2 linked regions of the Tribolium castaneum genome follow. The protein of the gene in region 2 purifies or fractionates together with the protein of the main gene of each other region. This does not show direct contact. Links are inferred from orthologs where the notes say so. Each region holds a gene or a part of one and is shown on either strand. Other genes may lie near its edges. The genes, in order: Rpt4 and proteasome adapter and scaffold protein ECM29.

Region 1 (3,924 bases), on a different chromosome or scaffold from region 2:
GATCCAAAACAACGATCAGTTCTTGAATTAAAATTTTAAGTTTAAAGATATTGCTAAAACAAATAGAAAAATCACCAAATTAAAACACAAAGTACTCAATGTTTTGCTTTTTTGAGTGTTTAGCACGTTTTTGAGTAAGAAACGAAAATATTTCATATTTATTTGAACCAAACTAAAAAATCAATAAAATTTCGCCAAAATAAATTGATTTTTGCTTTTTTCAGATAATTAATAATTAGCGAAAAATTTCGCTAATTAGCTAAAAAATTGCCAAATTTGATCGTAATTGATAGTAATTTAAAACTCATCAAATACAGCAACTTTTCTATACAACATTTTGCAAAATTCTTATTTAAAATTTTCATTGTTTTCCTCCTTTCTCTTCTGCAAACGAGCCGATCATTGTTTAATAATTGGTTTGTATTCTTTCCATTCTTGTTTTAAATTGTTTAAATTGTCTGTTTCTATCACAACGAAAATAGTTCAGCTCTTTTATTTTTGAACCCATAGGCACAAGTTTCATTATGATCTTTTTCCAAATTTTATGTAAATATGCGATTTTTATATTGAAAAATTACAAATAGAAAAGATGTTTTATTTGTTGAGTTCTGTTACCTGTTAAAATTAAGACACGTATTTCTGATACAGCCTGTATTTTGTAAAAACTTGTCAAAACACACCTCAAATTTAAAACAGTATTCTAACAAAATAAAATACAAATCTCTGTTTTACTGTGTTTGTTACTTATACGCCAAATTGTAATTTATTTATTTCATTTTTTTATCTTCTCTTAAAATGTTGGAACGTCACAACGAAATTAACTCAAAATTGTTTATTTATAATTCAATTACCTTAAGTCAGCGCCATTGAACGTGTCAGACAGCTTAACAATCGCTTCATAATCAATTTCCCCATGTTTCGCTATAGGCCCAGCATGGATTTTCAAAATTTCAAGTCGGGCTTGTTCATTAGGAAGCGGGATTTCAATTTTACGATCCAGACGACCTGGACGCAACAAAGCAGGATCCAAAGTATCGGGCCTATTCGTGGCCATAATCATTTTAACCTGAAATCAATACACAAATGAACAACTCCCAAAATTTCTCTCAAACCGAACTGACTTGACCAAGAGAATCAAACCCATCCATCTGATTCAACAACTCCATCAAAGTCCGCTGAATTTCCCGATCAGCTGACGTCCCCTCGGAAAACCTCCGACCCCCAATAGCATCGATCTCATCCATGAAAATAATGCAAGGCTGATGATCTTTCGCATAATTAAACATTTCTCGAATGAGTCGAGCCGACTCTCCAATGTATTTATCAACGATAGCACTTGAGACAACTTTGAGGAAATTTGCGTCCAGCTGTGAGGCCACAGCCCGGGCTAGGAGGGTTTTGCCAGTGCCTGGGGGGCCGTACAGGAGACAACCTTTCGGGGGGGTTATGCCCACCCTCATGAACAGTTCGGGGTTCATGAGGGGCAACTCTATGACTTCACGGAGCTCGCGAATTTGCTCGGACAAACCACCAATTGCCGAGTATGTGACATCGCCGGGGTCCTCATGACTCATGTTGTAAACAAGGGGGTCGACTTCTCGGGGCAAATAACGCATTATTGTCAACGTGGTCATGTCGAGAGCAACACGAGTCCCTGCTTTCAACTTGGTCTTATCAAGTTGCCGGCGACAGCCCACCACGTAACGGGGGCCATTCGTTGCCTTAACAATAACTAAAAAGCACTCTTGTTGATTACTGTTTTCACAAAAGAGAAACTCACATTTCTCCTCAGTTAGCTGTTTCAAAACCTCGCCAACAATTTGGCCCATGCTTTGCAGCGCCTTAAGGTCATTCTCTGACTTGTCGTATTGTTTTGTTAGGTCTTTTAACTGTTCTCGCACTGTTTAACAATTAGTAAAACAAATAAGTTAGAGGAGAGTGACTTACTCTCTTTCAAGCGAGACTCGACTTCTTTGTGTTCCACAAGTTTTTTCCGGTATTCCTGGAGGCTTTTCTCGCGTTCGGGCTCAGTTTGTGTCATTTTGACTCACTTTTTAGTCAGGATTTTCGAAAGTTATTTCACTAAAGGCACAATGACTGGCAGAACACCACAACACCGCACTTTTGGTTTTGACAGCAGGTAGGGAAATTTAATTTTTTCAAACATCGGCCAGAGTCGCCAACCTAGTGAATGCTTCAGTTTTACGGAATTTTGAAAGAACTTTTTTGTAACACAAGACATCTGTTTTAATTCTGTTCTGTAGGGAAAGAGGTCGTGTTACAAAATAATATTATCATATATTTTAAATACAAGGTGATTAAATTTAAGTAAGATGCAACCAACAATACACATTACATTTGAGGATTGCTCTAATTCTAATTAGTCAAAATAATAACTAATATTAATGTGTGCAGCGAGAATCAGGACCGCGCCAACGTACTAAAGAGTTAAGAAAAATTTCATTTTTGGCCAAAACAGTTTTTTCTTTATAAAAAAAAGTTGTTACTCCGAGTGCGTGTTTTTAGGCGACCGAAAAAAGCATACATTTTCAACCCATTGCAATAAAATTCTTGATATTTTTTTAAGAAATTTTGTGAAATAATCGATCATCTGATTAAATTGCATTTTCGTTTCGCTCTTAAACGTAAAATCATCAATGTTTTTAAACCAATTATACGATTTTTCAGTTTGTTTTTATCGAAATTTTGCAAAAAATGTGTCTTCAAATAAAAAACTATCAAATAATGCGAAGTAATACGTTTTTTTTTGCAAAAATTTAAGCATAAAAAAATATAACATTTTTTTATTCAATTTTATGATTTTTTTATTTTTACTTAATTTTATTTTATTCTAAATAATTGCGTTTTTTAGTACATTTTTCGACCGTTTTGTTGAAATATTTTTGGACAATTTTAAAAAATTTCGCTTGGTTATTTGTGAAAATTCATTAAACAACTGCGTTTTTGAATCAAAATGGGTTAAAATATCACAAAAATTAAAATAATCTACTTTTTATGCAATTTAATGAGTTTTTGGTTCATTTTAAAGAAATTTTGCAAAATAATTGCGTTTCTATAAAACGGGGTAAAACGCTTGAGGTAGCCAAATTAAATTAATAATTTATTAATATTGTAAATATTAAATGTTTACCGAATTTTTGAAATCTTGTGTTCAACTCGTCAGGAAAACTGATTTTTTTCTATTCATAACGTGTTTTTATCTTAGCTTTCCCTCAACACAAAATCGCACGTCTAAAATTCTTTAAAATCTTTTTTAATGTTTTTTTAGGATTTCCCGATTTCGCAAACTTTTTATTTCACCCTCTTTATATCCTGCCATTTTCTCTATTTTTGCAGGAAATCAAGCCCTCTAATAGGGCCTTCGACTGTAAAAAAATCATGTTCGGAAAAAATACCTTGAGACCTTAACGAATTTTTTTAGTTATTATAAATTTACTCGATTTTGCAAACTGCGTTAAAATGATTCGTATTTAAGGATTGCTCTAATTAGCCGAATCATTAACCAATTTGTCCTGCAAGAACCACGTGGAGGTTTAGAGCATTCTTGCCAAAAAAAAAGGAAATAAGGATGAGGTAAACAATGATCATTAGAAAATGAAGAGAATAATGAAATTATTGGTTATGAAATGAAAAAAATACAACACGTGAATCAAATATTTTTCATTTGGCGTTGAATAAAATGCACCTACCTTCATATGTAAATAATAAATAAATAATACACAATACGTCTCAATATATGGCACTCAAACTGTTAAATTCAACACATCAGTAGATAAATGCAAAAAAATGCACCTACCTTCATATGGCTTCCGCGTTGACTACTGTTTGTAGCATTTAAAAGCTTTTAAATAGCAAATACGATACATCTTTAAGAAATCTACATTTCATATGCTCTCCGCAATA
Region 2 (3,924 bases):
GGCGCTGCACATGTACTCCATGTTTAGGCTACTGTTGTTTATCAATTCCTTCCAACAGTCGTACGCTTTCAGTCTCTGCTCGGTTGAGGAGGAGTTTCGGAACGCAACCTCCACCTCTTTCAGCAGTTTGTTACCGGTGCCTTGCCTCGAGTGGAGCTTCTCGTTGCTTAACTTAATCAAAAACTCCCACAGTTGGTCCCAATGCGGGTAGTTACTGTCTCGCAACTGGCCGACAACTTTAATGTACCTTAAATTCGTTACATTGTGACTAGCTCATTTCTCGTGTAACTGACTCACGTGTTGTCAATCGCAGCGAAGACTTCCTCTTGGTCTTTGGTATCTAACGTGGAAACAGTAACAAACTGGACGAAATGAGAGCCAAGCTCAATCAGCTCGTCTCTAATCCAGTCATCTACATTTTTGGCAAACATAGCCGGTACAAGTTTCGTTACGAAAACATCAATGCACTTATCTCTAGGTAGAGTACTTGTTAGCCTCTTAACCGCAGCCTTTATCTGGAAGACAACCGCTTTTAGTAAGAGTTTACACCACAAGTGCAAAAAAACCTCAGCAATCTCATTTGTTCTTTCGTTAAATAATTCAATGAGATCAAAGCTCCCGCTTTGCACTTGGGACACTATTTCGTTCATTTTAAAGCCTTACTAACATAGAGAGCCCGAAAACTTATTTAAAACACATCGATCACAAACTTAGCGTCTCAATGTCAACGCGGGAATTCTGTGTCATGGCCCCGCGATAGGGAAGTTTGGTAGGGTGCGGTTGGCTACCCCGACAATTTTTCAAAAAAAAATATAATAATTATCAAAAAATAGCCAAAGAACGATTTAACGTGATTTAATTGAAACTTGAAAGCTCTTTAAATTTTAAAATTTAAAGAAAATCGTGTTATTGTGCACTCGTGCCCGCTCCCGACATTCTTGTGGCCGAAAATGTTATTTCACACATCCAATTAATTACATTTTTATGAACTAGTTGAGTATTTGCCACGTTCACACGTTGTAATTTTAATGAATGTTGTAATTTTGCAACGTTTTCGAATTTTTGTGTTAGGGATTTTTTGCTACATTTGTTTGACAGGAGCTGCCAAATAAATAAATATGGCCATGGCGGACTCTGCAAATGAATTGAGTGAGTATTTTAAATAAAAAACAAATTACGTATTAAAAGCATGTGTGCGCTGTGTTAATAACGTAAACACACATTTTTTAAATATTTTTTGTAATGTTTTTGTTACTTGTGTTTTAGTGCTCCTGGAGCGGGTGTTTTTGCGTTTGGGCTCAGCTGATAGTGACGAGCAGCTCCAAAACCTCCTTTCTAAGTTCCTGACCCCCGTTTTACTAAAACTGGCATCCCCTGAGGAAAGCGTTCGCAAGAAAGTAATATAATGACTCATCAAAAATGCAGCACTGACTGTTGATTTTAAGGTGATGGAGCTGCTAATACATGTAAATAAACGGGTGAAAACGCGGCCTCAAATCCAGCTGCCTGTGGAAGATTTGATCAAACAGTATCAAGACCCGGCATCTACCTCATTTGTCACGGTATGGTTGTATTACTGAAACGCCCCCTCACTCATGTTTTTCCAAAATTAGAATTTTACAATTATTTATATTAAACTGGGGTTCCCACGACTGAGTGCTGACAGACAGGCCGAACTTGTCCCAGTCATTTTGAATGCGTTGGAGCAGAAACCTGTTGCTCATTTGGACAGCATTCTTTTGTTGGTTGTACTGGTGTTGGGTAAAGTTAAGGTCCCGACTGAGCCTGAGAAGGTGGCGACTTTGTTTGGCTTGAATGAGAAGCCGCAAATTGCCAAACATTTGCTTGACATGCTCTTGGATATGCTTCTCTTGCCTTATGGGTAATTATGATGAAACATACGGAGGACTAAAACTAGGGGGCGAAAATTTGACGCTTCTTTCTATATTTTTTAAAAAAGTTACGAATACAGTACCAAAAATAGCAAAAAACTAGCAAAGTTTTAGAGAATCCAGTTTCCTTAAGGTTGAAACAACACTGAACTCCCTTAAATAGAAACAGTTCAAACAAAAAAAAAAAAACTTAAAGATCGTTTTTTACCATTAGATATTAAAGCATTACCTCACAGGTCAGGTCTTATCTCTTTTTAAATAATAGTATTTGAGTTTTAACGTTTTAAAAAAACTTAATAGTTTTTGTTCTTATGAAACTTAATAATAGGTTTAAATCAAATAAAAAAAAATACATTGGGTCATAAAAATTTTCAAAAATTACAAAAAATTGTGTTGAATATTTTTTTTATGAAAAGTTCACAATCTTAATTTTTTAAATGTGTTAATTACGGTTAACTATCGACAAATATGTGTACGAAAAGTTGATTGTAATTTGAAATAAATACAAAGTGGTTATTTAAGAAATTTATTTCTGATTTTTTCTCCAAATGTTAAAATCTGTAATTGTTTGAAAATTAAAAAATTAATTCATGATTGCATTGGCTTGAAAAAAAAACAAATTAATATCTTTAAAGCCCGAAAACTTTGCAGTTTAAGTGCTAAATTCTACACTTTCAAGTCACTAAAATTAGCTATGCATTTATTAAAATCTCCTTTTTGTAGTGTAGTTTAGTTGTTTATTTATTTGTTTTTTTTTAATTTATTTGTTGGAGCAAATAGCATGTTCTAATTTTTATTTAACAACAAAATATTTACATAAATTTTTGATATCTTTAACGTTATCAAATCTAAAGTCTTTGGTATTTCTAACTACAAATATTTTCAAGCCATTATTTACGATTTGCAACATCTAAAATACCTTAATTATTAAAATATTACTTACCCACTTGTAAAATACAAGGAAAAGTAATTTATTTGTAGAGAATTGTGTAAACTTAATTATGTATCTTTTTCTTAATGTTTTTTATGTCTTTAATCGTATTCGCACTATTCGTAGAGTTTAAATAAATTGCTAAAAAATGCTATTTTCTCTTATATTTTTTGGTATTTTTTTTGTTTCTCTTCGACTTTTGCCCACTGTCCCCTCCTGATTTTAGTCCAACGTAAACTTAATTAAGATATCAAGTCAGACTTGAATTGTAGGGCGCTTTCACCTCAAACGCCTGAAAATGAGCAAAGATCAGTATCCCTCCCTGTGCCCCCTTGCATGAGCCTTCACTCCTTTAAACGCATAACTTTAAACAACCCCTTGAAACCAGAAGAACTGGAAGAGGTACACATTCGAATTTTTTTCCCTTCATCAATCAGAAACTAATTTGTAGATCAAACTGGGAATCGTACGATTTCTAGCACATGGTGTTTTCAAAGACGAGGATATTTTAATTCACCTCGTGGTAGCAGCCGCCGATACGCGTTTCACTGTAGCTAATTTAGCCGACATGGAATTGAAAAAAGTCGTCGGGTAATTGATTTGCTCCTTTGTCGTTTATTTTTTCTTATTAAATGTGTTTTTTTAGCTCTGTAGATTGGGGCTCCCTAAGTGTCGTTATGCCCCTATTTACCATGTTTTTAGGTTCACAATCGAAAAATCTAAAAGAGGATCAGATCAAATCAGCTGCTAGTACCAGGATAAGGCTTAAACTTTTGACTTATTTGTGCCGAATCACAGGAAAGGCTTTCGCATTTCCCGCTTCCATTCAGCTGATTTTTGACTCGTTGTACGGCAGTAACACCAACACCAGGCTCAAGACTTTGGCCCTGAACTTCACCATGAATCTCGTCAGATAGTGAGTAAATTATAGCTCATTTTTCCAACTCTATTTCGTAATAACAGCGTCCGATAAAAAAGTTTATTACGTTAGTAGTGGTTTTTTCTTGTCAGTATTTTGTACAAGTTAAAGTTTACTCTTTGTTCTTTTTATAATTTTTTTCTTTAAATGTAGAGGATGAAGTCAACACATGGCGTGATTTT

What was found.
Region 1: the proteins of proteasome adapter and scaffold protein ECM29 (region 2) and Rpt4 purify together in Homo sapiens (affinity purification with western blotting; 3 studies listed by BioGRID and IntAct, with this or other methods). This does not show direct contact. The link is inferred for Tribolium castaneum from reciprocal best matches to the Homo sapiens genes ECPAS and PSMC6.

Annotation. Positions count from the first base shown.
Region 1 is NC_087394.1:9,241,985-9,245,908, forward strand, and holds the start of Rpt4 (26S proteasome regulatory subunit 10B), read right to left. Parts: upstream 2,172-3,924; 5' UTR 2,042-2,171; coding exon 1,948-2,041; intron 1,901-1,947; coding exon 1,781-1,900; intron 1,733-1,780; coding exon 1,122-1,732; intron 1,067-1,121; coding exon 852-1,066; intron 1-851. UniProt on the Homo sapiens protein: Component of the 26S proteasome, a multiprotein complex involved in the ATP-dependent degradation of ubiquitinated proteins.
Region 2 is NC_087395.1:15,616,009-15,619,932, reverse strand, and holds the start of proteasome adapter and scaffold protein ECM29, read left to right. Parts: upstream 1-1,014; 5' UTR 1,015-1,118; coding exon 1,119-1,149; intron 1,150-1,266; coding exon 1,267-1,397; intron 1,398-1,445; coding exon 1,446-1,562; intron 1,563-1,613; coding exon 1,614-1,882; intron 1,883-3,095; coding exon 3,096-3,225; intron 3,226-3,274; coding exon 3,275-3,414; intron 3,415-3,469; coding exon 3,470-3,739; intron 3,740-3,924. Other genes in the region: mucin-4, read right to left, coding at 1-247, 298-515, 567-650. UniProt on the Homo sapiens protein: Adapter/scaffolding protein that binds to the 26S proteasome, motor proteins and other compartment specific proteins. May couple the proteasome to different compartments including endosome, endoplasmic reticulum and centrosome.